4 linked regions of the Oreochromis niloticus genome follow. Each later gene encodes a partner of the first gene's protein in a complex. Links are inferred from orthologs where the notes say so. Each region holds a gene or a part of one and is shown in the gene's direction. Other genes may lie near its edges. The genes, in order: sf3b1, sf3b2, sf3b4 and sf3a2.

The links.
Region 2: sf3b1 (region 1) and sf3b2 share a complex: the UniProt entries of both Homo sapiens proteins name them as parts of the SF3B subcomplex of the 17S U2 SnRNP complex. The link is inferred for Oreochromis niloticus from reciprocal best matches to the Homo sapiens genes SF3B1 and SF3B2.
Region 3: sf3b1 (region 1) and sf3b4 share a complex: the UniProt entries of both Homo sapiens proteins name them as parts of the SF3B subcomplex of the 17S U2 SnRNP complex. The link is inferred for Oreochromis niloticus from reciprocal best matches to the Homo sapiens genes SF3B1 and SF3B4.
Region 4: sf3b1 (region 1) and sf3a2 share a complex: the UniProt entries of both Homo sapiens proteins name them as parts of the 17S U2 SnRNP complex. The link is inferred for Oreochromis niloticus from reciprocal best matches to the Homo sapiens genes SF3B1 and SF3A2.

Annotation. Positions count from the first base shown.
Region 1 is NC_031987.2:32,303,575-32,310,507, reverse strand, and holds the start of sf3b1 (splicing factor 3B subunit 1), read left to right. Parts: upstream 1-3,933; 5' UTR 3,934-3,993; coding exon 3,994-4,021; intron 4,022-5,428; coding exon 5,429-5,601; intron 5,602-5,812; coding exon 5,813-5,914; intron 5,915-6,038; coding exon 6,039-6,153; intron 6,154-6,478; exon of another isoform or gene 6,479-6,933. Other genes in the region: coq10b (coenzyme Q-binding protein COQ10 homolog B, mitochondrial), read right to left, coding at 1,640-1,737. UniProt on the Homo sapiens protein: Component of the 17S U2 SnRNP complex of the spliceosome, a large ribonucleoprotein complex that removes introns from transcribed pre-mRNAs.
Region 2 is NC_031967.2:24,041,312-24,049,329, reverse strand, and holds the start of sf3b2 (splicing factor 3B subunit 2), read left to right. Parts: upstream 1-5,000; 5' UTR 5,001-5,055; coding exon 5,056-5,185; intron 5,186-5,634; coding exon 5,635-5,681; intron 5,682-5,914; coding exon 5,915-5,965; intron 5,966-6,671; coding exon 6,672-6,896; intron 6,897-7,125; coding exon 7,126-7,176; intron 7,177-8,018. UniProt on the Homo sapiens protein: Component of the 17S U2 SnRNP complex of the spliceosome, a large ribonucleoprotein complex that removes introns from transcribed pre-mRNAs.
Region 3 is NC_031985.2:19,772,825-19,780,764, reverse strand, and holds the start of sf3b4 (splicing factor 3B subunit 4), read left to right. Parts: upstream 1-4,937; 5' UTR 4,938-4,990; coding exon 4,991-5,024; intron 5,025-5,869; coding exon 5,870-5,998; intron 5,999-6,083; coding exon 6,084-6,626; intron 6,627-7,940. Other genes in the region: lix1l (LIX1-like protein), read left to right, coding at 248-499. UniProt on the Homo sapiens protein: Component of the 17S U2 SnRNP complex of the spliceosome, a large ribonucleoprotein complex that removes introns from transcribed pre-mRNAs.
Region 4 is NC_031982.2:13,069,711-13,077,704, reverse strand, and holds the start of sf3a2 (splicing factor 3A subunit 2), read left to right. Parts: upstream 1-4,987; 5' UTR 4,988-5,129; exon of another isoform or gene 5,130-5,155; intron 5,156-5,761; 5' UTR 5,762-5,832; coding exon 5,833-6,030; intron 6,031-6,141; coding exon 6,142-6,188; intron 6,189-6,293; coding exon 6,294-6,403; intron 6,404-6,524; coding exon 6,525-6,574; intron 6,575-6,865; coding exon 6,866-7,006; intron 7,007-7,096; coding exon 7,097-7,165; intron 7,166-7,729; coding exon 7,730-7,994. Other genes in the region: plekhj1 (pleckstrin homology domain-containing family J member 1), read right to left, coding at 734-824, 2,589-2,655, 2,750-2,817, 2,992-3,144, 3,350-3,464. UniProt on the Homo sapiens protein: Component of the 17S U2 SnRNP complex of the spliceosome, a large ribonucleoprotein complex that removes introns from transcribed pre-mRNAs.

The DNA of each region.
Region 1 (6,933 bases):
CAAGTTCCAATGTACCCACTGCCCCTAAACAGGAACCTATTCACTCCTGTTTTACTATCTGAAACATGATACATCTGACCTCTAAATGTATCCTGGGTACAGGCTGAGAATGGCCCAGAGCAAAAGGTGAATGAGACATCTCAAACTCCACAAAGGTGCAAAGCAGAATTAAACCCAAACAACAGACAGCTGGACAATGAGTTCATGGAAGTATACAAATACACTGAGAAACTAATTAAAGTAGCACACTTTGGATTTGTTTAACACGTCTTTAGGAAAATGTAGATAAAAGCATTATCTTGTTCAATTTTAAGGGAGCAGATAATGTGCTGTTGTTTAGGCTAAGGTAACAAGTAATGTTACCTTGTGATGAGTAAATATATAGGCCATACAGTAGCAGATGCTCATACTAAAAATGACCGAATTTTCAAATAATGAGGTCGGTGTATGTATAAGTACACTGTGTGACCGAAAACCTAAGGCTTCAAACTGCTCTAAACTTAGAATTTCAGATAGCCTCACTATGGTCATCTCAGGCACACAGCTCTGGCTGTGAGCACAGAAACCCCACCCACCCACTGTTCAATCAGAGGAAAGATGGCTTAAAGGAGGGGGGTGGGAGATAAAATGGCTGAGATATAGAGAATGGACTGGGGACTGGACTAAGACCAATATAAGAGATAACTAGCTGAAATAGAAAAAAGAACCTAGACTAATCATCTGAAACACTGTCTGCTTAGTGACAATAAGGAGTATTAAACATATCTGCATGGTTTATAATATACTCTAACGCAGTCAGCTTTTGAGGTTAAAGAGAGGCTGTTGTATAAACAGATAATGACTGACAAACAGTAAATTAATATTATATATGCATCACATGTGACACAATAATTGTTGAAAAGCTGCTACAGGTTCTGGTGATGGTTTCATTTACCACATGGAACTTAACGATTTTAGGAATATTTTCAGACTGTGCCTGCATGTCGTTTTTACTACACTGTTTTGCAAATCACAGATAATCGATGCTAATCGTTACGATCTTCTTCATCGTGGGGTTTAAGTATGTAAAGTTCAAGGTTTCCATGTCTTCACCTTGGCTGTGCTATCAGCAGTGTTGGAACGTAAAAGAAAAAAAACACTACGCAAACATAGTAATAATTAAAGAGCCTGGTTTATAATCAATACACAAATTATCGTGCATTTTTGTAGTTTACGCTAAGACTGCTGCTCTCCACAGGAGAATGCATATAGAGTAAAAGAAACTGAAATCAGCTTTACTTTTCTATGCGTGAAAGTGCGACAATTTAATGTTTCAGTGAATATAAATTATTGTGTAATGTGCTATGCGGCTTATCACAGCAACATCGTGACTGTAGTACATTTGCTATAAGTATTTCTACACAGGTAAACCAAATACTACTTTTACCCGACCCTCATTTTACTACTTTCTACCATCTACAGAGATGTAGTTAACGAATTCTTGAGTTAAACAGGGCCGTGAATCGTACACCGCCGCAGTGTTTAGCTACCCCGTACCAAAAGTGAGTAACTTTGGTACAAATGCTCGTTTTAGAGGTATGTCTTCATATTTTACGCCGTCTCGTTTCAGACAACAACTTGAAAAAGTCAAACACTTTACCTAACGTTGCTTCTGTTCTGGATATCCCGGTTGGCTGTGGACGGTAACTGTTTTATGCACTCAGCTACTTTTCTCAAGTTCCGACCGCATCTCGCCATCTTCTCTTCTTCTTTAACGGCTTTGTTCACTCCCTCGCTATCAACCAGTTGACAGGGAGCTCTACGCGCAGTTTGGCCCGACCCTCAACAGGCCTAACCCGCTTGCCATTGGACGATCTGTGGCCACCGAATGTTTTTATTGGGCGGTCCCGCCGTTCGTCACGCCAACGTATTCAGGTTCGTGTGCACGAGCTCGCACGCGCATAGAGTCACGAGTTGTTGGCTCGAGTTGCTCTATCGGCCGAGAAAACCGGGTGAAACCTGTTTGTCTTTGCATATCAAAACTATCAATAGGTCAACGTGTTGACCTGTAGACTACACTACACCTTCTTTGTTGTCATTTATTCCTGCTCTGTTGGGCAAATTTGTTAGAATACAGTTTCTACTATTTTTGAATAACAAAGTGAAAGAAATATTTAAAATTCTTTGCAGTAAGGAAGACATTGAAAGTGAAAGTGAACAGGTTTCTGTCTGTGTGCTTTTTTTTTTTTTTTACCTTTTTAAAAAGGAAAGGGGAGCTGTTTGCATATACATCAACTCAGGGGTAAATTATGAAAGTTTCTTTGCTTATCGTGATACATTATATTTGTTTTACTAACGTGTAAGGTACATTTATTATATATATGAATAAATATTGAATGAAATGATATATGCCTATAGGCACTGGTGTTCTTGTCCAAAATACATGTTATAACATACACTTTAGTAAAGCTCATGAAAGTTAAAAAAAAAAAAAGAAGTTTTTTGGGGGTTTAGGTTGAACACAGAAACACTGTCAATTGTATAAACATTTCTGCCCAGTCAGGGTTGTTTGTGGACACTTTGGCGGCATTATTATTATTCAAACTTTGACTTCTGTGTCAAGTACCTCACAGCTGGTGGTACAAGTTTTTCCTGCAACGACATGCATCTTCTGGCATCTTCCTGCTGAGTCACCAGGTAAAACTCAACTGTTTTAAATCTAATCAGTCACTTTCCCCACAGCTATATTCCTCATCCTTCTGTTATAAACACTCGTCACTCACATATCTAGTGTCATGTAGCTTTCTTTTCTAATAACCAAAATGCAAGGCTGGGTCCTGAAATTTCATTTTCTGTGAAAAGAAAAAAGCTTCACAATTAGCTCCACAAGTATTGTCTGTAGTAGATGGACTGCTCTATATAGCTTTTCTACTCTGCTGGAGCACTCAAACTCAAAGCGCTTTATACAGCATGTGTCATTCATACAAGCACTTTTTTCTGTGCTTTCCAACATTCACACAGAGTCATACTTCCATGCATCTGAGAGCAACTCTGTGTTCAGTATCTTGCCTAAGGATATTTGCCATGTAGCCAGGGATCTAACTACTAGCCTTTGTGGATGATCTGTTATACCTCGTGAGCTACAGCCACCCCTGCAGTGTTTCAGATATAGGTCCTCTAGCCAATAGGAGCACAAGAAAATCTAAGAAATAACAGCTGGGCATTTATGAGAAAGGGACATAAACTATAATAACAGGTGTTTTGTACAGACATTTGGGGAAGAAACTTTACCAACCATAGATCTCTTTCAAAGAAGCCAGTTTCACATGAAATAAAAGGTAAACACAGATATTAGTAATGCGAGAGGTTAAAAGCCTTGACTTGAAGTTAAGGTTGTGAACCAGGTGTTAGAAAAGCCTTATGTTTAGCTACTGCTGCATGCCAGAATAGCCCCTGTGAAAAACAAGTCTTCAAAACAACAAAACCTGTCTTATTATCCTTTTCACTTCTGTTTGTGGCATGCATAGTGAAATTACAGGCTTTTTGGTATACGTTTTTACAAAGCAGCCCAGTTACAGGCTTTAATGTACTCCAGGAGACAAAGAAGGAGCTGTGCAAGGAGATATTACTGATTTCTGTCAGGCGACATTCTCCATTTCAATTGATAAAAGTCTGTCATTAAAGATCAGAGTGCTGCTTCTAGCAGAAACATCTGGGAAATCTGAATAAAATAAGATGAGAAAGGTCAATTGGAGGGCTGCGTCAATTGAGATTTTTTAATGGGGTTTTAGGCTAGTGGACATTATACATCATACATGGACGGAAAGTCACATACTAATTGCTTCACTGTATCTACAACTTTTATAAGTATGTCAATACACTACGTCTAATACTAATCCTACTACTAGCAATATAACTACTGAGCGATTGAAAACTGGTCTGAGAACAGCTGGAAAGACACGGAACTCTGAATTAAGTCACATCCGGTTTCAGTCTCGAACAACCGCCACCAAAATGGCGAAGATCGCCAAAACGCACGAAGGTAAATTACTGCTAAAACTACCATAAATATGTTCTGTTTTACCACGTATTTTGCTTTATGGTGTCAGTAAATATTGCGGTAAATTTTCTGGTATTTCTGTTGACGGTAATGCTCCTGTTTATTTGCGAAATAGGCGATAAGCACCAGGCCTCATACGACGCAACGCGGAGCTTTAGATAATGGCGCTGGTGGTTACCGCTTAGCTTTCTTGTTAGCTGGAATGGACTATTTTTCTCAGCTTATTGCACACTTGCATGCAATAGTGGGCGCCATTTGGGCTTTTTGTCTTGGTCCGATACGCCTTTAAGCTAGTATAACTTGTTGTTGTTACTGTGTAATCCAAGGTGATGGTAATTCTTTAATGTCTCAGTGATTCTCGTGGCTAACCGAGTTAGCATTAGCAACCTCTAACAAGCGTTTACCATGCCTACAGCAATTGGTGTCCGGCAGCAGACTCTGATATTAGCTTCATAATCGATGTTTAGCAGGAATATTGAAGGAAATGACCGAGGGCGTTTTCTGTAGCAAGTATTGGAAATCGTTAACCCTTTTCTGTAAAATATTCTAATGCACTGTTTGGACATGACTTTGAGAGTTACGTGACCCAGTTTTTGTTTGTGAAAGCAGTAATTATGATGTAAGTAACGTTTATTTTTAAAGCGCTTTTCACAGGCGTGCATTCATAAAGCCCTGTACTGCAAAATAGAATAAAAATAAATACATAAGTTTAACGCAACCTCACAGTAAAGTAAATAAACTTTACAAACCTAATTGTAGTGCAGGACTGTTCCAGTGTCTTGGTACCACAGATCATGTTTACATCAAAAACTACAGTCACATACGGTGATATTAACAGGCAGAGTGTAAGGAAGTATTTGAGCTTGATTTAAGGCGTGAAAGCGCAAATAAAGGCCCGTTTGCTAGTCTTTGCCAATCAGTCCAATTCTCTGTGTGGGGTTAAAGCATTTTTTAACGTGTAAATCTCTTTGAGAGCATCGTTTGCAAGTACAATACCCCATCTGTTTTTTCTCCTTGCTAAGAAACGCTGAAGATCCTCCTGATTAAATGTACAAAAAATTCCATGATGAAGAGCTAAAGGCTTTTTTCTTCTTCTTTTTTCCTTTTATGAAGCATTCCTTTGTTTCCCTGTGCCAAGGGATGAACTAAATAGGGGGGGAAAAGGAAAAATATATGGGCATGTTATCAAATTTTACAGTACGCTCTATCACACTGGTTTTACACCCTTATCCAGCACAAACTGAAGTCATGCCTCAGATAAATTTCAGTAAATATAATATTTATAGATTAATCAATTCCATTCACCACTGCTGATACCGGGGTGTATGTCAGTCATCCATGCTTACCTATACAGGTGGTTTTTCACCATGTTTCCTTGTGTCCCTACAGATATCGAGGCCCAGATCCTAGAGATCCAGGGGATGAAGGCCTCCCTGCTGGAGGATGGAGAGCAGGGAGTGGGCCTGATCTCCACTGGCGTTTTTGACCCAGAGATCTATGAAGGCAGCGACAGTCGCTTTGCAGGATACGTCACTTCCATTGCTGCCAATGAGCAAGAGGAGGCAAGTATTTATTTATTTTTATTTTTTTTCCTTTTCCAAATCAAACACAGCTTCTTCCGAGAATGCTGTTTTGTGAGCCACAGGTTGTCCTTTGTCAGTTTTGTAAGGAGCTTGACTGCTCCCCTCTGCTTGTTTTGGGGATTTGAGCTAGGAGAACCTTGCCAGTTTGGCAAGATTTGAATAGACTCATTTATTCTCTTTCTTACCTCAGGATGATGAAGATGATACGTCAACAAGCTTGTTGGGACAAAAGAAGCCAGGGTACCACGCGCCGGTGGCAATACTTAATGCCATTCCTCAGTCAGATGAACAGGTATGTTCATTCACTGTTTGGGCTAAATTCCAGTTAAAACAGGGATCTAATTTTAATGAAAAAACAGGCTTGTACAAAATCCTATTTTACTAATCATCGCATGTTTTGTGCTTAATCTTTGCAGTACGACCCATTTGCAGAGCATCGTCCACAGAAGATTGCAGAGCGGGAGGATGAATACAAGGCTCGGCGCAGACAGATGATCATCTCTCCTGAGCGTCTCGACCCCTTTGCAGATGGTAAATTTTGCTCTTTTGTGACCTTTTTACATCTTCCCAAGTTCCTTGCCTCCTCCCCTTCTTTCTTTTTGTTTTCTTTGTTTTCTGTTTTTACACCAATAGTTTTTACTGTTCAACCCTTCGACCACAATGCAATAGCTTGCCTCCCAGACTCAATGCCTTCCCTGTGGTCAATCCTTTCCTCCATGTACATTTTGTGTCGCTGTTTTTCTCCCACTATTAATTTCCAACTGTTTCCAACAAATGTCAGTGTGGGCTCACAATTCATTTCCATAATTGCAGTTTGGGACAGTGTTGTTGGGATTTTAATTTGGTGCATGCATTAAAGGTAATATAGGGTTACCATGCTTTTCAGGGGGAGAGGTGGTTAGGTGTTTATTGCCTAACAAACATGGGTCGCAGATGGGTTGTGTGTGAGTCGAAGGGTTAACAACCCAATGTGATTTATGATGGGAAAGTGCAGTGTCCGCTTGTCACAGAAGTTGAGGATGAAGGTTAGCTCATTTAGCTGCCCATGTCCTGTGCTTTACCACACTGGGCACAGCTTTATAGGTGAATATAAAATATATAAGAGGAATATCATTAATATGCTCTGGTGGTAGTTGAACCAGAAGCATAATTTTAGTTCATAAATCTCTCAAGTTTCTCTGTTATCTGGATGCAGTAACATGACTTGTCAAAGTGCAAATTGTCTTGGGCTTCAGCGTAAAGCGCTGCCTTACAAGTAGGGCTGTCCCGAATATCATATTTTTGAGCTACAGCAGTTCAGAGTTGATCAAA
Region 2 (8,018 bases), on another chromosome or scaffold:
TTAAGACGCTATTAAGCACTGATGAGGCTAGGCTGCTGCTTGCTTGTGGTGCATGTGGTTGCACTCTCGCTGGATGCTTTGATTGCAATCAAAAACGGAGGAGCTAAAATAAATCCCAAGTTTGTCACAGCAGAGACGTCTTCCTCAGTGCAAAAGATCCAATTCCAGATAACACTAGTCCTCGTCTGTTCTTTTTTTGGCAAGTTCCCACCGTGCAGGATCACAGCCTGTCCTTATCACAGCAGTGGCCAAACCCTGCACAAAAAAGAAGCTGAAAGTGAGGAACTGAGCACAAGAGTAAAAAAGTTATCCAGTGAGATACAAGTCTGTACATACCAATATCTACACATACATCAGAGAACAAAAGCACAGGCCGTGAACACCCTCCATGTGAAACGAGGTCTCCTTGTTTCTTTGAAGTCAACCACGCATGCATTCTTAGAAAAGCCTAACACACATGGCACATCTGTGCCAACTTTTACTGTGGTGCACTGAATGTGTGCACAGTGTAAGTGAGAACTACATTTAAAGTCAATGTTTAATCAGAAAAGCACATTAACAAAGGAGGATGCGTGTGTGGTTTTGTGTGAATTACGATAAAGGTTGCATGAGGCAAAGAACAAGCACGAGCTCTCTGTGTGACGCTTTAATTAAGCAGAGGCTGGGATGAGGAAGCATAAACTATCATTAGTGCCACCACAGACAGAACTGGAGCTTTGGACTGAGTTAGTCTCACTGTTTTGCTTTGAGTCTGCGTCTTTTCCATCAAACACAGAGTGGAAGGCGTTTATTTTTATCTTCTTTCAACTCTGTCAGCTTTTTTTTTCACTCCCTCACCTCAGATATGCACATAAAGATACGCACTTCCTGTTTTCAGTCCACAGGTGTCCGTCACAGCAGAAACAGAAAAGAATGTGGCTTTCACTGGCTTGTGTAGCAGTGGGGCCATGTAAGAGTTTCCTCCTCCTGCTAACAGTGAACCACACCCACAAAGATGGCCCATTTGACTGTGTGAAGAATGTTGCTGCTAAGAGAGCCAAAAACTGAGCATGCAGCTGCGACAGCAGGTTTCTCATCTGTTAAATTACACAACACAAAGACTTGTCTTTGCACATGCTAGCATGATGAAACTACATTAGGATCATGTACATGAGTACTACACATTATTTCTGCTAATAGACCCCTAAAGCTACAGCTAGCAAAGCTGGAAGCGCTGATTAATGGCTGCACCCACAACTATTGCTGCCATTATATTTCTTACCACAAGCATTATTACTCACAATAACAAAGGCACTTTTGCCACCGCTGTAACAACTACTGTTGCTTCCTCCTGCATTCTTTATAAAGAGCTATTTAGCATCTGTACCACATATTAGCATTAGCATCACTACAAGTGCCAACACTATTTTTCTTTATTATATAAATGTATGTACAAATTAAATGTGGACATGTAAATACCTTTAGTGAAGTGGCCTCTAGAGTTACACCTGTTAAACTGTGTGTTAATGCAAATATCTAATTAGCCAATCACATGGCACCAACTTAGTGTATTCAGGTATTTAGTCATGGTCAACACGACCTGCTGGAAATCAAACTGAGCATCAAAATGAGGAAGAAATGTGATTTAAGTGACTTTGAATGTGGCACGGTTGTTGTCAAACAGGCTGGTCTGAGTATTTCAGAAACTGCTAATCTGCTGGGATTTCCCCACACAGCCATCTCTACAGTTTACACAGCGTGAGCCAAAACGGAGTAAATTTTGGCGAGGGGCAGTTCTCTGGTGAAAATCTTCTTGATGTCAGAAGTCAAAGTGGAAATGTCAGACTGCTTCGAGGTGATCGGAAGCCAACAGTAACTCAAATTACTGCTCTTTATAACCAAAGTGAACAGAAGAGCGTCTCTAAACACACAACACAAACACAACAAGCAGACGGGCTACATCAGTGTGACACTCCCATCAGCTAAGGACAAGAAACTGAGGCTACAGTTCGCACAGGATTTGCAGATTTGGACAATAGATGATCGGAAATTTTCTGCTCTAATGAGACTCAATTTTAGCAACAACATTAGAACGTTACTGTCAGAATACGGCAAAAATATGAAAGCATGGATCCATCCTGCTGACCATGTTTATCCCTTTATTACCATTAATAAAATTGTCCCTGTTCTTCCCCTCACTGCTGAGTCTAACCCTAACCCTAACAAAAGTCTGGTTAAAAATGAAAGTTTTCAGATTCATGTCAGGCCCATGTGTTTGTTTCTTACCTCTCCTCTAAACTGCACCTTCTAGTTTGATCCCAGGAACCTGTCCAGACAGACCCTTCTGTACAAGCTTTATAGTCAACCTCCTACGAGGGATGTGCCAAATGTGGCGGAAAGGAGGAGTTACACCTGATTTCTACATCTTTTTTTCCCCACTGTTAACGTAGTCGCATTGTCACCTGAATGAAATGATTGAGCACTCCTATAACTTAACTTTTCCTAGAACGGGAGGAGCTACTGACTGTAGGCAGAAGTGTGTCAGGTGACTGCTCTGTGAGGAAAAAAAACACTGCCCCTCACAAAACACACCCATTACCATGAAATACTTGCAAACCACAAACAACTACTCATACGCTTTCAATATGCATGTCACTCTAAGTTAGTTTTATGACAAGACACCCATGGCCCCATTACTTAAACCAACAACAAAGGATCATAACGTGTTCTGTTAAAACCTCAGTTGTGTGGTTTTTACCTCTGCTGGCTGCCATCGGGCACATTTTACCCAACAACAGTTCAATCTGACTCTAATGAATATTTTACTTCCCCTCACATGAGAAATACATGCAGCCTGCATACCCTCACGCCACATCCCAACACACACACGCGCTTAGCCTCCCCCTCAATGTGGGTGGTAGCACAAGAGAATGTGCTACCGTATCGTCTAGCAATGCAACACTTAGTATAATCACAAGAAAACTGAAAATGTGCACTTTCATCCAACCTATAACCCAGCTCTTTTATTTATTTGTTTTGGCACAGCAGCAGGATGTTTCCTTTAACATAGGGGTTGTGCAGCCATGCAAAGGCTGTGAAAGCACTGCAATCATCAACTATGTGTGACTAATGCTTTTCTGCCGATGACTGTCTGAGTCCAGTTTCCTCCTCACGACTTGGGCTGATTAAATGCATGCTGATAGTAAATAAGTGTTGCCTTTGGGAGGGTGGAGTCAAGAGTTTGTGGCATGAGTAAGCCTTCTGAGCGCCTGTGGTGTATTTCTGCATGCAGGGGTTCATGTTCCAACACAGTTTACTGTGTGATAAAATATCCAAAGTGTTTGGAGAAAATAGACCAGCAGAGAGATCACACACACACACACACACACACACACACAGTGACCGCTGCAGGGAACATGCTGACTTCTGTGTGAGAGTCATTTTTCTCATCAAAGTCTGCAGGGAAAACAAGCAGCCTTTAGAAACACTGGGCTACAATTAGAGAATACTCGTTAGAGCATGCGCCTCAGCTCCAGCAGATTTTGCTCTTAATAAAACTTTAAGTTGGGCGCATGGCTCACGCAGATAAGCAAAAGCTCCTATGACAGATAGATAGGTGTGGTCCCGGGGAAAAAAATGAAATGAAAGAAATAAACAATGAGCAACACGAACAGCTGTTTGACGAATTTCCTATCCCTTCACTTCCATCAGTCACGGTGAAAAAAAAAAAATTAATAAAGATTAACACAGGAAAAGCAGATTTTGCGGAATCAACAGCACACTAATGTGGGCTAGTAATATTTCTTGGTTATTACTCTCGTGAAACCAGGGCCAGACTCGTGTTTGACTGTAGTTTGTTCCGGCTTTACAAACTAAACTAAACAACAACTCACAAACTTCCAGTTCTGCTCTTAAAAAAAAAAAAAAGTTCAGACCAGGAGGACAAACGCGTTTTGCACAGTGCACTTCCCTGCGCCCCGACACTAAACTGCTGATGTAAAGTGATGTTGAAGGATGAATCTCATATTTACCTTGCAATGCGTTTCCTCTGAAAAAAAAAAGTTTGTTACGGAAATTCAACATGCAACTTCACAACATGCTTTCCGTTCCATGTTTAGTATGTACCCTTCCTTGTACCCTCCCCTCTTCTCTATACAGAAGAAACGCCCTGCTGCCGCTATGTGTGCCCTCGTTCCAATGCGACTGCGCAGTGCCCGCAAGTCATAAAACTACACTGAAAGGGAGGGATTCGTGCGCTGTTCTCTCATGTAGTGCTCTTTGTTTGCAGCAGATTTTACTTGATGCTGTGGTTCATTATGGTAGTGCGCGTTTATATGCATTATGCTGCCCTTTAAAAGATAAAAATCCCTTTCTATGGTTTTACAAATACTGAGCCTAACTAAAAAGGACACATTTACCAAGTGCTAGACTCCATTTGAAGTTTAGTTACGCACAGTATTTCTATTTTATACCTACTTTAAAAGGTCAGTAGACTTGTAAGCTATAAAATGTAAAAATAGGGAAGTTCTTTATTCTTCTAACGGCAACATTTAAAGGATTTCAAGTCTAAGCAGCCAACGGTGACATCTAGCGACTCCAGTTAGTAGCGCGTTTATGCCCATCAGAAAAGAACAAATAGTGAAAATAAATTAATAAGATCGTACTGAAGTTGTAAACAGTGTAAACTATCACAGTGTATGGGGGGTGAGGGGGGTGATTGGGGGCACAGATTAGCGTCTGTTTGTGTGGGATTGTATTAGTCTGTATCTTTTTACCTGATGGCCAAAGTTCAAACACAGGGTGACTCGGTTGTGTGATGTGTCTGAAAGGAATGCCTTTTATTCCGCACAATGCATTGGACGCAGCTGAAGAATATGATTTTTGTCCCATTTTATGTTTTGTCCTATTGGGAATGTATATTTTGAAAGTACTTGATCTGACTGAATGTTGCAGTAGCAGTGCATTTAATTAAAAAAAAATCTCTCTTCAGACTTCACGTCCCGTCATGCATTGCGTGTTTCCCCAGCTCTCGCGTGTCCTCCGCTGCCGCCGTTGTTCCATTGAGCTAACCTCAACATGGCATCCGACGGACCGCCGGGCACCGACTCTCTCCCGTCCGATTTGGGGAGTGCTATTGCAGCTCTGAATACATGGAGCATCCCGGAGCTTCAGGGCAAGCTGGCAGAGCTTGGAGTACCCAACATGGGTAAGAAAAACACCCGCGTAGAGCACTACGCCTTATCACAGGCTATCGGCAGCTAGTCCGTTGCTAACTTAAGCTAGTAGCATTAAAACGCAACGCTTCCGTTGCAAGGAGTTTAAGCTAGGCCTGAGTTATGTTTACACTCTGTTAAGTAAATTTCATGCACTAATTAATCATGTAAGTGACATTTTAACTCTTGTGATTCATGTTGGGTAAAACTAAGAGCGTTTGGCTAGGTTTTTTCCTTCGTATTACCTCTGTAACTAGTTCAGCGGTTTAGCTGCTTTGCTAACTTGATATGGAGGGGTCAACATTAGCCTACTTTTCTGTAACTCGTTAACTTCAAAATGAGTTCTGAGTTTTTCTGGCACATTATTGGTGCACATTTTACACGCCTAAAGTGATATCAGCGTTGTTTAACAGCCGTTTCCGATTCATTTTCTCCTCTTTAGGTCCCAGAGAGGAGTTGATTGACAGACTGAAGGGCTACATGATGCAGGTAAATGCATTTGGATTCGGTTTTATTCAGTCAACGTGCAGCTGATTGGAATGATGGTGCTTTTTGTAACTATTGATGACCTTTCACGCTACGCTAGAGTAGTAATGAATAAAGTCTGGGCAGAAGTTAATAGTATATCCAAACTATTCATCTATTTCTCGAACCTCTTCTCCTTTTCATTGAAATCAAAGAAACTGTTCTGGTTTGTGTTTTTTACATGTGTCCCTCCACAGACTGGGATTCTTCTCAGCAAACCTACTGATGATAAACAAATGGGCTCCCAGGTAAATTAGAGGGAAAACACTGATGTCTGTTTAATACTGCAGCATACAATGGTGAAAAACATTACAATGTGTCGATGTAATGTTTTCTATATTTTGATTTACGTGTTTAGATTGTGCAGTTTTTGAGCACTAGACCAGCTCTCAAGCATATTTGAGGCTGTGTGTGTGAGTTTGCCCATCAGGTCTACATGTGTTTTGTAGACTTGGAGAAGGCATTCAATCTGGTTCCTTGCAGTGGGGGATCTTCCATAATATGGGGTGTATGGCCCATTTTTACAAGCCATTCGGTTCCTCTGCAACTGTTACTAAAGCTGTTACAGAGTGTAACACATTTGCTTAAAAAGCAAAAGATCCTGTTGTAGGAGGAGGCACAATTCTCTTTGGGGTTCTGTCAGGATTGGCTTCTTCTGAATCACATATCACAGAGCTACCTGCTGTTTTAACTCCTTAAGGGAGCAGCCGAAAGTCGCTTTTATGTAATCATAACTTTTCAGTCTTGCAAATTTGTTACAGTTGAGTATGTTTTGTCATGTGTTTGTAGAACTATGTTGAATGGTGTTAAGAAACACTTCACCAAAACAAAAACGAGAATTCACTGAACGCCTTAATATCTCACCTAGAAAGTCACACAGTCTCAGTGTGACTTCACTTCAGTCCTTCGTGCTTCCCATTAACATCACAGTCTCCTGTATTTCCTTCTCTCTAGATGCCAGGTATCCCTGCCATACCCCCAATGCCCATGCCGCCCATGCCTCCTGGTATGGGTATGATCCCAGCTATGAGCATGATGCCTAGTGGGCCCCCTCCACCTGGTATACACATGGGCATGGACCACTCTGTTTTGCCACCTGGCCTCACACAGGATGATCAGCTGAAGATGGCTCAGCATAGAGCAGCCATGTTGTTACAGCAGGAGGAGAGAGCCAAGCAGGTGAGGATAGCTGGACCTAAAGTTTACTGTTTGACTCATTTTTGCCAATTTGTTTTGCATTTATTAAACAAAGTAACATTCTGAGATGTGATCATAACGTAAACCACAATTTGACAGGATAAATGTTTTTTATAACTTCATAACAACACGGCAATAACTGCACTACACAGAAAACAGTTTAAAAAGCATGTTTTGTCTGACTGGCTGTTATTGTTTGTGGCTATCTCAGGGTGATTCCCATGTCATGGATGAACAAGATCTTTTGGAGCAACAGAAAAGGGTAAGAGGATGAAGAACTCTAAATTGAAATATTTTCTCAATGAGCTGCGTACATTTTCTCGGCTGGAAAAGGGTGGAAAAGCCAATTCAGTGTGGGAACACGTTGCTACCTCAAGTATCTAGTGCAGGGGTGGGCAACTCCAGGCCTCAAGGGCCGGTGCCTGCAGGTTTTAGATATCACGCTGGGTCAACACACCTGAATCAAATGATTAGTTCATTACCAGGCCTCTGGAAAACTTCAAGACATGTAGAAGAGGTAATTTAGCCATTTAAATCAGCTGTGACTAGATCAAGAACACATCTAAGACCTGCAGGACACCGGCCCTTAAGCCCTGGAGTTGCCCACCCCTGATCTAGTATCTAGTTCACAAACAAGGGAGAGTGGAGCGGGAGGGTGACAGATGAATCAGCATGGTGGATGCTGTGAGAAGCTGAATATGAAAGCAAGGCCATGAGTTTACCAGTGTGTTGGCACCCTCACGTGTGGTTACATTTTGTGGATAGTGACTGAAAGAATGACACCAAAGAAATGACGGGCTCGGCTCAGTCTTAGAGATGGGGTGAGGAGTTCAGTCATTCACGAGAGGTCAGAATAGAACCACTTCCACCAGGTGGTTCAGGCATCTGAATGTCATTGCCTCCTGGACCGCTCTAAGTTGAGGTGTTTTGGGCACCCTCTACCATCAGCAGGCCCCGGGGCAGATCCAGGACATGCTGGAGAGATTACATTTCTCAGCTGGCTTGGGAACACCTCCAGTCCCTCTGTAAGAGCTGGAAGAGGTGGCTGGGGTGAGAGTGTTCTGCTCAGACTTCTGACCCCGTGACCCAGAGCTGGATAACCAC
Region 3 (7,940 bases), on another chromosome or scaffold:
CACATTTCCCCGAAAATATAAAGAATTGAGGGGTGGAGGAAGACACTGTACCACAGTACTTGCCATCAGACATAATTTTAAATTTTATGTCTTATTACTTAACATTTACCCTCTTGGCTGGTTTGTTTATAGACAGTGATGAAGTCTTATTAAGTTCAGCATCAGAATCTGATGCTGGAGGAATATCTGATTGGGAATGCTGTTTCCCACTATCACATCTTCTGACTCTTTCTGGCTGAACTTGCAGGAGGTGCTGGCTCACTACTCCCATCGGGCTCTGGATGATGACATGCGCACTCAGATGGCCGCCGACTGGGTGAACCGAGAACAGAGCGTAGCGGGCACCATTGCGCAGGAGCTGGCCACGACAGAGCGGGAACTAGAGGACGCCAGGCTGGCGGGCAGAGAACTGCGTTTTTACAAAGAGAAGAAGGACATCCTCATGTTAGCTGTGGGTCAGCTCAGTGCAGCCAACACCGCCACTCTGCCGTCACACTAAACCAACCGTCCGATATGGAAACATGCCTTCGCACTCCGTAGGATTCCTGGTAACAGTATTGATCACTTCATAGGTGACTTCTCAGAACGTTTTAGGTTTTGTTTCGTTTCGCGTACCAGGTAATCAAGCCTTGACTTACAGTATGCACATCTTGTCCATAAAACAAATACTAGCCGCTATAGCCCGTTACCTCTTTGTGCCTAGTAATTACAGGATAACAGTGCTTTTTTTTTTTCTAGATGCCTGTAAAAGTGCTCGGCATTCAATGTGACTGGGATTTACATGTTTTGTTTTCATTATTTCATACTGTACTTACTCAAAGTAGACCTATGGAGACAAAGCCTTTATGGATCAGTGAATGTACGGGGCATAAAATGACCCATCAGACCAAACGCTAATGAGGTGTAGCTCGTGTGTTTCTTCTCGGCTTCGGTTTGTTTTGGTTGGTTGTAGTATTCGGGATGGGAAGATGCCAAAATTGATGACGCAAGAAGCCTGTGTTTGTTCATGAATAAAGCACAGGAACAGAGGTCACCCACTCAGCAAGATATGAATGAAGGGGATAAAAGATCCCAGCTAATATCACCGGTTTTCTGTAATGGATGTGCAACCTGCTCCTACAGGTTTATTATGGGAAGCAGCCTCAAATAATACTAGACTTCCAGTAAGCACAGAAATACACTTATTGACTCATGTAATAATAATTTGTGGGTAATTTGCAAAAGAAGAAACATGTCAGCAGGTAATTGATGCTCTGACAGCAGCTCAGGTTTAAAAAAAAGATCAAATATTAAACCACCACTATGCCGTTTTACTTCAGCTTTTGTTGCAAAGGCGTTTTTTTAAAGCTTCGGCGCTTGCTTGGCGACGATGACACTAGCCGAATGTATCATTTTAATGCGCTATCAGCAAAAAGGACCTGCAAAGCAACACGACTTAAAAAAATTACAAATCTGCTCTTGTGATGCAGATTGTGTTGGTCAGCTAGTAGAGTTCAAACAAAGTGAGTGTTTGTTATGACTTAAATGTAGGTCAGGGTCTCAGCAGTTAAAAAATGGAGGCCAGAGAATGAGTTGGGCTTTTTTTTTTCTTTTTTTTTTGAAAGCTGAACCATCAGTTTTGAGTCATTGTAGTCAGAACAGTGCCAGCTTCTGTGGTCTAAGGTTTTTTTTGAGATACTGGAAGGAGAAATTGGGTTTTGGCAGCGTTGTAATGTCTGCATGCCAAAAAAATGTAATATAACAGGCATTTATTACCCTTTTTTACCGTAAATGTCATAACTTTATATTTGTTCGTCTTTATAAAATGCATTTTTATACGTTGTAGGGATAAAGGCGTTTTAACAAGCAGCATTAAAAAGACCCCACGCAAGTTTTAATTGATGTGATACGGCTCTTTTGGATGTAATGAAAGTCAGACAGCAGGAGGGCTCGTTCTTGCTGCTGAATGCTGGATTGTGAGCAGCAGAACTCGATTACACGAAATATAAAGAAAGAACAAATAAAGAAAAAGTGCAGGAAGTTTCTATAACTCATCTCTGGAGTCTTTGTGCCTTTATGAAAATGGTAGCTAGCAATGTTTGAACAGTCATCTTTACACATGTAGTTAATTTCTTACTGTTACAAAGAATAGTTGGGGGAAATTTACTCTGAGAATTTGATTGACGTTACACGCAGGGCGGTCTGGTTAATATGAAGCTTAATAAAGCCGCCTCACCATAGATTAGCATAAAGACTGAAAAGGGATGTAAACAAGTTCCCACACTCAGCCCCAAAGGTAACAAAATCTGACCAATGTTACGTCATTGGTCTGAATCACAGACTGTATATAAAAGATGGACATAGCTTCTCTGTCTAATACAGAAGCTTGTGAGCTACCAAGGTATAGCAAACGTTGAATGCCTCTTTGCAGAAATGGATAAAAGGTGTGGAATCAACGTGTTCATGTCGAAATGTTAGACAGCTCATGACAAGGAATTGATCTACCTTCACAGAGCTTTCTGATTGGCAGAGCTAGCTAAATTTCAACCTAACTTGAAATTTCAAATTACGGATGGCGATTTTTAAAATTGTTTTTCCAGCAAACAAGCTTCCGTAGTCTGAAAAGTGAAGCCAGTGCAAAAGTGCCTTCAACCTGCATTCTTTATAATTGTCAACTCCTCTGGAAGGACTGACCTCAGTCAATACTTTCCTTATGTCATTGTGGTCCCTTTTAAAAGTCCCTTTTAACACACAGCATGATGTCTGTTGGTATATTATGAGCTGGTGTTGACTATGATAAAATACGGTGTGTGCTAGACTGGGACTGTTGTGGAGGGCCGGATCAATAAGCTGAACTACTTTCTGCTCAGTATTCATTTTTCACTCTTCATAAGCTTATTGATCCGGCCCTCCACAACAGTCCCAGTTTCTCACCACTTGTTTGTTATGTCTGGTATCAAAAAAGTCCAGAATGCCAAATGCAAGGCTTCCAAACCAGTGGGCGATGACATGGTGGCTACGTCCATCTTTTAATTACAGTCTGAAGTGGCGTCTGTGCTGGGTAATACTTCCAGTACCTGCAGAGTGTTTTTATCAAATCATTTCCTCAATATGTTACATGCCGTTAGATTGTGAAGGATGTATTTAATGTTATTACCTTTGGTATAAATTTATAAACATTATATACTGGTTTTGTTTTTGTTTTCTTTCTTTGTGCCCACTTTGCAGCATATGTGTGTGGCGCAAATATAAAAATGCTGACTTTGCAGTTCTCTTTAATGAATAATGCAAATTTAAAATTGACTGAAAAAGTCAACTTTATATGTCCTGGTTAGTATTTTCTCTTTTTCAAATGTGTAAATTTCAAATCAGTAAATTTTAAACTTGGTACTAAACAGATTCCCAGGATTTCATATGCAGAAACACTTTCAGTGATTTTATCCTTCTTTGACTCAATTAAGATTAATGAGGAAATGTGATTAATGAGGAAATCTCAAGCAGTGTTTTAATGAACAGCTTAACGGGAAGGAGGCTGAGGCAGTTTGTTTCAATTTAGATGCTCAACATCTGGGTTGGTTTTTTGGTTTGTTTGTTTTTATAGCCACAAGCCATTAATCTCAAGGCTCCTTCTGTAAAAAATGCCTTTGATCTTTCTTTGTTATCAATATTATTGAAGGTTTTTTGAACCGTATGTTTGTTTTTTGCTATTTGTTTCCTAAAAAACAGTTTTGGCTCTGCATGTTTTTGTTTTGTTTTTTCATTTTTTTTGCTTTGATGCATGATGTGTTGATTAAGTTCTGGTTTTATATGTTTCATATTCTATACAGTATTGTTTTATAAGAGTGTTTCTCGAGGTCCTTACTGTTTGTATTTTCTATGAAGATTTTGTATTCCATGTTTATACTTTTAGTAGATTTATATGTATATGTAATAAATTTGCTGTTACAAATGGCACTGTGTCGAGCCACTTGTTTTCAGTGACTGAAAATCAAGGCCACACACACACACACACACACACACACTGGTAATAATTTAATATTCCAAATTAATAAAAAGACATATTCCAGATTTTTAGAGTATAAAAACACTAATTTCATTCACTTTAATTTTTTTTAAATTATGCAGTAACTTGCAAATGCCACCAGAAGGCATAACAGATATATCCCACCCACAGTCTAAATTAGGCATCGTAGCACTGTTTCTGATCAAAACCAAACACAATTAACATTACAGAGCAATACTGGTGAATTTATTTTTCCTCTTTCAGAGCCCACAAAAGTTATCAAAGTAAAAACAACTGTAATAGACCAATTGCCTCTATTACCTCAGATGATCAAAGGACTTGAAACTCTTGTCTAGGTTGCTTGGTTCTCAGGGGGGTTGTTTTAAATCAAGAGAACCATCGAGTTCAATCTCCTAAATCTGGGTGACATATAAATGAAATGATGCAGACTTAGAGCCAAGAGGATCGCAGGGGATCCAGACAGTTGTCCATACTAGCATCAAGGAAATGCTACCTTACTGTGTGCTGGCTGCACACAGTACTACAACCCCACTGACTACCTACCCACAAATCAGCTACTCAGTACCTGGACTATGTTTGAGAAACAAATTAATTATGTTTGTTATTATTAAATAAAAATAAAATAAAATAAAATAAAATAATAGTAAGTTGATTGGATTTTTTCTCTAGTTATGTCTTATTGAAACGTGAGACTAGTTGTTTCAGTAATAAGGAAATCCACTGCATTTATAATATTGTCAATTTTTACACTTTTGTTTGGTAAATTGTGTCCGGAAGCAATTAAAACAAAAATAAAACAAATTCAATTCAAGCTGGAATGAACTCGTTTTTCACATTATGTTCTTTAAAATCCGACATTTAATATCATACCAGAAAAAATTAAATTAAATTAAATTAAATTGAATTTTTATTTTATACTTCCGCTACACAGCATCGGAAGAGGCGGGGTTTCATTGTGCATCGCTCCCCCTGCGTTGGTCATTCAACATGGCAGCGGGACCAATTTCAGAAAGAAACCAAGGTAAACTCATCATTAAACTCTGTTTTGTTTATTTGCACTCCTCATTCATAAAAGTGCTGGTACATTTCACCGGAACCGGCTCAGATTTACTTACTGACTGCCTCGTTTAGACAGCAGTTTGTGATAAACAACCGGCGGATCACATGGAAACATTGAGTTGTCGCTAGCTTAGCATGTCGCTGATTTTGCTTTTCATTCAGATTTTTTCATCCTTTTACTTGTCACTTATATATAAGCCAGAGTTCAGCGTTGGTTTGGGGTTGTTTTGAAGTGTGATTGTTGCGAGCAAATTAGCAGCAGACTTAACGTCTAGTTGACCAACAACTACAAGTAGCCGAGGAAGCTAACAACATAGCTTGTAGCTTCACTCGGCGGTCAAGTTAAACATATTAAACTTCTTTGTTTCTTATCGTGCTGATTTTAGACGGGGACTGTTTCTTGATGTGGGTATATAGGATTTTAGATACCGGTATTTTAGATGTAAACACTAAACGTTTGAGTTTGCATAATAAATATTGTACACGTATATTAAATATGAGGAGAGTGTGAGAGGCAATAAAGGAACTTTAAGAAAAAGCAAGTATCTAATTTTAAAATCTTTTATCCGGTAGTTTCACAACGCATAGTTATCTGTACACATCTTCCAGCTGAATTATATTAGCAGGGCTTCCAAAGGACACAAAGGACTGGATCTCACTGATTAAGTAATTTATTTCCAAATATTATATATTTTTTCTATTCTTGAAGTATCTCTATTGACTTTTACATGTGTCCACAAAAAAGAGATTGATGACCTGTGATGATGCACTGATCATTATGAGGTTTATTCTCTCTTCATGTTTCAGATGCCACTGTATATGTTGGTGGTTTGGATGAGAAAGTGTCTGAGCCGTTACTATGGGAGCTTTTCCTGCAGGCTGGTCCTGTGGTCAACACACACATGCCCAAAGACAGAGTCACAGGCCAACATCAAGGTAAATAATCAGATCACCTTTTTGGCACGTGTTTTGAAGGATCACCAAAAACAAGCTCAGCTAACTGTTTTTGCTATTTTCTCAGGCTATGGCTTTGTGGAGTTCCTCAGTGAAGAGGATGCTGACTATGCCATCAAAATCATGAATATGATAAAGCTCTATGGCAAACCGATCAGGGTTAATAAAGCTTCTGCACACAACAAAAACCTGGATGTCGGTGCTAACATCTTCATCGGTAACCTGGACCCAGAGATTGATGAGAAACTGCTCTACGACACGTTCAGTGCCTTTGGTGTGATCCTCCAGACGCCAAAGATCATGAGAGATCCAGACACCGGCAACTCGAAGGGTTATGCTTTCATCAATTTTGCCAGCTTCGATGCATCCGATGCTGCCATTGAGGCCATGAACGGCCAGTACCTCTGCAACAGGCCCATCACAGTGTCGTACGCCTTCAAGAAAGATTCCAAAGGAGAGCGTCACGGCTCGGCCGCAGAGCGACTCCTGGCCGCTCAGAATCCACTCTCCCAGGCAGACAGGCCTCACCAGCTGTTTGCAGATGCTCCTCCACCGCCAACGGCTCCAACGCCGGTCCTGACCACACTGGGAGCTGCGATGGCCATTCCAGGTAAGAGCAAATGGAAGTTGTTTTATTGTTTTACTGCGGTGTGTTACACAACATTTCAGGCACCGTTCATCAGGTAATGTGGAAAAATCTTGTTTCCATTAATAAGAATTTAATAGGTGGTGATTTTAAGTGATTAGCTTACAAGATGAATTTGGGTGTCTGGTACAACTTGACCTACTTCCAGGAGCAGGAACAAGAAGTAATCAACCTGAAGTGGTCTAAGAATAAAATTTGTTCCTCATGAGTTTTAATCTCTTTTCACATTACACTGTAAAATCTAATTAGTTCCCAGAACTCAAAAAAATTATGGAAACTCGTTGCCTCAAAAAAATTGAGTAAAGCTTAGCTAAAAATGACTAAGTTAGGATAACTTATTTATTTTGAGTATTCTGTACAAGCTCATTTGTTCCCAGAACTCAAAAAGATTGGATCAAGTTTACATCAGATGACCAAGTTAGGGCAACTTACTCATTTTGAGTACACTGTACAGCCTTTTTTTAGTTCCCAGAACTCAAAAAAATTATGGAAACTCGTTGCCTCAAAAAAAATAAGTAAAGCTTACTTAAGATGACTGTTAGGACAACTTAGACATTGCAAGTCTGCAGTATTAACAATAACTTGATATTTCTGACTGTACAATAGTAATTGTTTACCTAACAAACATTTCAAGTTCAACTAAATGAAAAAACAATTTGTGGTAACCTGAATATGATTAAAAATAATTAACAACACTTTTTGTAATGATGTTAAAATCAGCCCAACTTTTATTTTCAAACACAACAAAGTATAACAGCCAAAAATGGACACTGTTCTGCTGAACAACAAACAATTATATTGCCATCGCTGTTATAATCTTACAATGAAACAAAGTCTCAGATGTAATTATTCTGAAAATAAGTTTAGGCCTACCACAAGTTTGTTTTGTACTTACATTACTTATATAATCAAAATAAAATATTTGTTGTTCTGTCACAAGTGCAGTCTCTAATTTAAACAACACATTTGTTTTCCATTCCAACACATGAGCTGGAATGTTGTATTATTTTAAGGATGCTTGTTTCTAGTCCAGGCATTACTGCCTGAATGACTGTCATGGATCAAGGTGATCCAAATGTAGGTGCAGAAGAAAGTCTTTAACTTCCCTTAAGTACAGTGGCAGTGGTTGATGGTTGGAGATGCAATGAGCTTGAACTTGCAGGCGACCATCTTCACTGACCACACCATCTGTGACGGAGGACTCATCTCTCCTGGTGTCCTGCAAGCAAACAATCATATTTTAACTTAATTGCTTTCTTAAAACATGTTTTTTTCTGC
Region 4 (7,994 bases), on another chromosome or scaffold:
TTGGGAGTATTATGCATTCCCAGTAAGCTTTAAAACAATATGTCAGAGCTGTTATGGATTAGACTGAAGCCGTTTAACAGTCACATTTCTAACACTGTGCCTCTGAAAACAGCAAAATCATTCATTTGTGACAGTTTCACCCATGTGAGTCTGTTACTATCTGAGGTGTCACTTGCTCTACCCACACTGTTCAAATGGCATAGATGTGTAAGCATATTCAGCTGTGCAGAACACAGCTTTTCATTATTTGGTTATTAAGTTAGAAAACACACACAAAATGCTCTTCCTTTAGACTTTATGAGCATATGTAGTCAGTACAGCTCTGTGTTTTTAAATACGTAATATAGCAAATTAAACAAATAGAAAAAACAAAACTACTCACTGTGGGGGTTAAGGGTTTTACTTTTTTTGTCTTGACCATCACTACCGGCACCATGCTTAGTTTGAACTTCAGCAGATCATCATGACTGTGTTTACTTGGCTAACTCCAATGAGTTTCTGTCACGTGGCTGGTTAAATATTTGCTTTAAAGCTCAGTTTAACAGGTGTAACTATTGGAGTACACAGTGAGTGTGTTCTGACCTTTGTGGGATATTATTTGACACCCGATCAAAAAAATACATTTGGTTTAAAAGTTAAGTTTTTCTCCATTTATTAATCACTTATTGACGGCTGTAAGTATCTGTAAGCTTCTGTGCTCCCTGGAATAAGAAAGAAGAAAAGTCAGTCCTACCTTGCTTTGATAATGGAGTCTATCCACTCGGCACACTGCTCTTCAGTATCACATTCAAACACATACTTCCTCTCTGCTTCATCCAGAAATGCTACAGCAAATACAGGGCATTAGAGATCAGAAACACATGAAGGAAACCAACAGAAACAGCAGAGCGCAGGTGAGAAAGTGAAAATAAGTCAGAGTGAAATATACAGTTAGGTCAATATGTTTTTGTAGTTTTGCTTCTATATACCACCACGGTTCATTCTACATCAAACTATTACAATATGACAGAAGTGCAGACTTTAGCTTTAACTCAATGTATTTAACAAAAGTGATGAACTGACTGTTTAGGTATTACAGCCATTTCTTACACAGTCAAACAACTGACTGCCAGTTTCATGACCAGGTGTGTCCTGTTTCCTTGTTCGATGACAAGATAAGCAGATAAAAAGTATGCAGTTGATTCCAGATGATGTTGATGAAGGCGCAGGAGGCCGAATAACCAAAATAAACCTAAATGAGAGACAACAACAACTGTAGGAACAGCCAAATGAGCAATCTGGTTCATTCTTAAAAAAAAGAAGAAATGCACTGGCCAGCTCAGCAACATCAAAAGGCCTTAAAGGCCACAGAAGACAACTAAAGTGCTTGACTGCAGAATTATTTGCATGGTTAGGAAAAACAACGCCAAAACATCCAACAACATCGAGCCAAGAACACTGTTGTGAAGGTAGCAAATCAACATAAGTCTAGAATGAAGAGACACCTTCATGAATGGAAATGCAGAGAGTTTACAACAAGGTGCAAACCACTGGTTACACTCAAGAAAAGGAAGGCCAGATTAGACTTTGTCAGAAAACATCTAAAAGAGTCTGCTCAGATCAAACCAAGATGAACTTGTACCAGGATGATGGAAGGAGAAAAGTACAGAGAAGGAAAGACACAGCTCATGATCGGAGGCATCACACATTATCTGTCATACATGGGCATTATATGGCTGCCAGTGGAACCGGATCACTAGTGTTTATTTTTCCTCCAAAGGGAGGAAGTATGTAATCGGTACCATTTGTCTGTCTGCTTGTTAGCAGTTTAGTGTCCACGGTTTTCATGATATAATTTTCACATTTGGTGTGATGGTAGATACCAATAACAGCTCGAGTTGATTTAATTTTAGTGAAAATTGTGTCAATGTTAAAGTCACACAGAATATGAAAAAAAAGCTGTAAACTTTATATCATCCACAATTTTTTTAATGGATTGTCTTTATCTTCATTACTAGCACCCAAGGTCAAAGTTGACCTTGAAAACCATTTTAAAGAAATCATATTGAGTAATATATCATATGAAAGCACATGGAGAGAGCGGTACAACACACTTTCAATTGTCTCAATACGACACCCAATGATGTCACAATGATGCCATTAACAGGTTGATGTCAGCATGTTGTAATAAAGACATCATAAAATATAACAGTTTTAGTACAGCCCTTGCTCTTCGGCGGGAGTTGCACTCTGTGTCTGCTGACAGAAATATGAGCAAAAGCAACTCAAGAGATTTTTAAGCCAAAGAAAGGAATCGTCTTCAACTGAAGTTGGTCACCTGATCTCAACCCAATAACACAAAACTAGTAACTGAAGGCGGCTGCAATAAAGACTGTTTTATAAAAATGGCTGTAACTCCTAAACAGGTAACGTGACATTGTTGTTATAGCCCCTGAATAAAAGCTGGGAGTCTGCGCTTCAAAGGCATGTTCATTGTTTGATATAAAAACCACTGGGGTTGTGTACAGAGGCAAAACTACCAAAAACAAATCGGTCACTTACAGACTTAGTCACTCCTAACTGTACCTCTAAAGGATGCTGTAGCTTACCAATAGAGAAAGTCTGGCTGTCCTCCCTTTCCACCCTACACTGCTCCAGCAGCAAAGCTCCAATTGGCTGCCAAATAAACACTCAGTTAATTTTGACCCCCCTTTTGAAACAAATGTATTCAATTTATCACAGAAAATGCTGTGACAACAAGCATACTGACCTCTTCCTCATCAGTCCGGAAATAAAAGAGGAAGTTGACGACGAGTTTCACTAGCCTCTTCTTTACAACTGCAAGGCCACAAAAGGGAAGTTAGACAGACAAACTCGTCTCTACAACAAACACAAAGCAGCCCAGCTGTCGCATGAAGTATACAGAGAGAGATATGTCTAATATCTGATGCTGACATTAGCTGCTGTGCCCAAATACACGAAACGGAAGTGCGTCTGAATGACTGTCCTTACCATCTCCTTTCTTGGGACCTCTCATCCCCAGTTCAGCTGCTCTCTCCGACGGCTGGCGGCTCAGTAACACCAGCTCCTTCTCGTTGAAACGCATCGCGGACACACACAAACACTCACAGGCTGGACAGACGGACACACGCAGGTACACGGATGCTAAAGAGGACCCGTACCCCCAGTCGAAAGCATAACACAGGAGTTAGCTAACGGTAGTACGGTGCAAGGACTATATTGTATACACCGCTGAGTCCACGTCGCTGCTTCGTTATCTAACGTCCCCGAAACCTGTCGGACTGCGTTTGATCATTTCTGTGGGTCAACTGAAAACAACAGCTCTGGACTTCATGCCACACTCACACACCTCTAGTAATGACACTCCTCTCTGCCGAGGTTGTCTTCTTCCTCTTCTTGGTCAGGCGCGTTACTGCCCTCTGCAGGTCAAAAATGGCTCCTTTGTTCTGTGCAAGAGTCAGCATTTAGATGTTTCTTATCCGGAAACAGAGGCCCCAGCTTCAGTCTGGTTAACCTAAACATTTTCCGTTTGGTTTGCACTAACTAGCGTACTAAGGTACACTCATAGGCCACTTTGTTCATTAAAGTAAATATGTAATCATGTAAGCATGTAGGCATGTTCAAGATCAACTGCAGAAGTTGAAACCGAGCATTAGAGTGGGGGAAAAGGCGATTTAATAGACTATGAATGTGGCATGGTCTAGGGCTGTGCGATATGACCAAAATCTCATATCCCGATATTAAGACATCTATCGTCCGATAACGATATAAATCACAAAAATGTAACATTTTCTGTAAATTCTGTGAATGTCGAGCAGCTCGACTTGCGTGAAATGTTTCCAGCTGGGCGTCGGGTACCTGGAGTCGAGTGTTTTAACTGATGCATGAAACGATACATTTTTAGACATAGGTTGTAATGGCCGCCGTTTTCTTTGTGAGTATTTATTACACAGCGTGCTGCGGGGAAAAGCCTGTTCTAACGTTTGAGTCTAAGGTTTATTTTTTAGCACCTGATGGCTCATTTTTGCTTCTCATCCGTAAATACTCTGCATCTTTCACGTGATTCAGTTTATTTTGAAAAGTCTCAACAGGATCTTGAGCTTTATTGTGAAAGGTTTATGTGGAAAATAAACAAGCGGACACGAGGTGGTTTTACCGTCGTTGTTGCTAACGACAAGCATAAAAACAAGCGCTTGTCCGTCTGTAGTGTGGTTATATTAAATATAAGAGAAAGAGAGAACTTTAGGAAATAAATATAGCCACTACAGTGACCATCAAAATAATGAAAAAATATTGCCGTAAACAGTTTATTTTGCGACACCATGAAACAAACGATAGCGTAAAATTAAACGATAGACGTTTTTATATCGTCATCCGATATATATCGTTATATCGAAGAGCCCTAGCATGGTCTATGGGGATTTTCCTGCCCAAGGATCTATAGCGTTTTACAGAGATTCGTCCAAAAAAAAAGAAGAAATCCAGTGGGCAGCAGTTCTCTGTAATATTCTTGATATTTATAATTGAACATGTGTCTATATTAGTGCTATTTCTTACATTTGTAAACTTTGTAATATATTGTATTATTTCATTACTTTAGTCTGTTACTGTTATTGGCTTGGAGCAACTGAAACCCACATAATTTTGTTAAGGATTATTAAAGTATTCTGATTCTGATTCTCTGCTGGTATTACAAATGTATTTGTAATGTCTTTCTAATACTAGAGGTCAGCGGAGAATGGCCCCTTAGCACCACAGCTTACCTGAAAACTAAACCGAAACTAACAAACTGTCAACTACAATGAAATAATTGTTTTTAAATGCAAAACTATAAAACTTATGTTTTAGAATTGTGTTTCTACTGAAAATGAATTAGGAAAAAAAGCCAGAATTTCTAAATGAACCACTGAGCAGTTTATCTTTTTAAATTAATTAATTTTTACCTCCTGTGTCTGCTGCTGTGAAACAATCAGAAATTTAAGAACAAGAAGTCCCCCCTCATAGGCCCAGCCGTCGTGTTGGCTGGAGATCCAGCCCAGCAGGTGGCAGTAACACACCAGAGGGTTTTTTACAAACCACCAAAACCCGGGAAAAAGAATCTACTGAAGCGCATGCGCAGAACAAATCAGGTGAGCGTGTCGCTGTCGTTGAGCTGGTGAGTGTTTTGATAAAGTAATCTGATTGTAGTCTCCTAAAATGTTTAATTTTGTGGCTAACGGATGTGGTGATTTTGCATTTTTAATATTCACTTTAATCATCTGTATTTGTTAAAAGCTTTTCATTATTAGTTGGCAGCACCATTAGCTTAGCATTAAAATTGCTAGCGCATTTAGCGGCTTTTGTATGCTAACATGCTACAGCTAGCTAGATGTTGTTGGGATCATTCGCAGAATGTATTTCTTTTGTAATAATGGGAAGAATTTTTTTTGTACGCTGGTAAATTGCCACAGATAACTTAACTTGGTCCTCTAAAATCCGCTGTTTGGGCCTTACTCCGCAGTGTTCATGTTGACTCTTTGTAAGGAAGTTAGCATTGGGAATCTTCGTATAGAGGGGATTGTAATGACGAGCTGCTTTTAAAACAGGTTGTATGACCCATGTAGGTTTGAGCAATAAAAATGTGTCCAGGTTAGAGCCTTAGCTAAAACACAAGTAATAATGCCAATCTACACATGATGCTGTTGTTGTGCTACAGCCCTGGAGTGCAGGGTTATTAATGTCGACCTTCACTGGCAGTACTTATTGTTTTATTTTTAACCAGGTAATCAGGGGAATCTATTTGGAGTAACTGTCCACATTCGTGTGACTGTTTGACTCCAAAACCTTACAAAAATGGATTTCCAGCATCGAGCTGGAGGGAAGACGGGGAGCGGAGGGGTGGCGTCTGCCTCTGAGAGTAACCGTGACAGGCGAGAACGGTTACGTCAGTTGGCCTTGGAGACCATTGATATCAACAAAGACCCCTACTTTATGAAGAACCATTTAGGATCATACGAGTGCAAACTTTGTCTGACACTTCACAACAATGAGGTGAGGGACACCTAATGAGACATTTCTCTGTTCACTGAATTTGTTTTTATTTCTTGTCATCTGGGTGTCTTATTTGAAAAGAAAAATCAAAAATGTCTCTCTGTATTTCAGGGAAGCTACTTGGCTCACACACAAGGAAAGAAACACCAGACCAATCTGTAAGTCCATAAGTTATCTGTGCTACAACACAGAAGTGCAAGAGCTGTTACTTTATGTTCTGATTTAATTAAAGTTGCTGGAAACTGTTTACATACATTTTTCAGAGCACGGAGGGCAGCCAAAGAAGCAAAAGAAGCTCCTGCTCAACCAGCTCCAGCCAAAGTGAAAGTTGAGGTCAAGAAATTTGTCAAAATTGGTCGACCAGGATACAAAGGTAGGCAAGCTCTGGCATTTTATATGGCAGTCACAGTTTGGTTTTTAATACTAGTTTCTCTACAAAATACATTGTCAAAAAAATTAATCTTTTTTTTTTAATTTTTATTAATTATTCACAGTGACCAAACAGAGGGATCCAGAGACGGGACAGCAATCTTTACTTTTCCAGGTTTGTATATTTTGAAAGAATGCATATAATCCAGTACCCTTTTGAAGCCGGGTAAATAAGTTATTATTTGTGTGCTTCAAACCAAAGCAAAATGCACACTTATTCTTTGGATAATCTGGTGAGTTCTGCATAAATGTGGCAAACTCAATCTTGTTAGTCAGTTGGCGAAAGGAGCTTTACACTGAAACTGGGTCACAGGAACAAATCATAACCTCATGCTCTAACCTGCAAAGTTTCGTACCACAACAGTAAAGGCCATGTGTTACTGACCTTCTTTTCTTGGCCCATCAGATTGACTATCCAGAGATCGCTGAAGGAATTGGACCCAGGCATCGCTTCATGTCCGCTTACGAACAGCGCATTGAGCCTCCCGATCGTCGCTGGCAGTACCTGCTTTTTGCTGCTGAACCATATGAGACCATTGCTTTCAAGGTGAGACCTGCACTTTTCTCTTCCCCTTATGTTTTTTTTCTTTGTCATTTTTCCTTCACTCCTGTAATAACAAGATGTTTGCTGTTTTAGGTACCCAGCAGAGAAATTGATAAAGCAGAAAACCGCTTCTGGACCCACTGGAACAAAGAAACTAAACAGGTACCAGCTATGTTACAGAGTGCCTGCCAGTAGAGTTATTAGGTCCAGTTGCCAGAACCAATGGGAGGGGTGAAGCAAAGTGGGCACACTGTGTGTCAAAAACAGAAAAGCAGAGGTGTAGATTTAGCTGCTTTTTTTGTGTAGAAAAACTCTGTCTGATAAGATGCGCACCTTGGGGAATTTTTCCCCGTCTTTCCGTATGAGAAGACAATAATGTATCACAGAGTGAGAGAGAGCTCTGAATCATTGTTTACCTCATTTACATGCAACCTAATCTAATTAGTAAACACATGTGGGTGAATGTCAGCCCGTGGGTGAATGAAGGTAAAATGGTCTCTTGAACTTGTTTATAGTTCTAACTTTTTCAAGCTGTTATGCACAAATAGCAGTTGATAGGAACAGTGAGTCAATAAAGTGAACTTAATATTTGTTCTATATGTTTATTTCTTCATCTTAAAGATCCTTGTAAAAAGTTTCTGTGATATACAAGTTTAAACTAGTGGAACTTGTATATTAGTTTTCCAAAAATGTCTTTAATTGTTCTTTTTTTGTTTTTCTATCCAGTTTTTCCTACAGTTCCACTTCAAAATGGAGAAACCTGTTACCCAGTCGAGCGGTCCAGCACCTGCTGCCACTGTGAAGCGTCCTCCTCCCCTTATGAGTGGAGATCACCCATCAAACGAGTCTCTGCCCCCTCCGCCTCCAGGGGGAATGCCCGTCCCTCCTCTCCCGCCTGGTGGCCCAGGAGCCCCTCAGATGCCCCCACAGATGCCCATGCCCCCCATGCCAATGAGGCCACCCCCTCCAGAGGGCCTTACATTAGCTAATA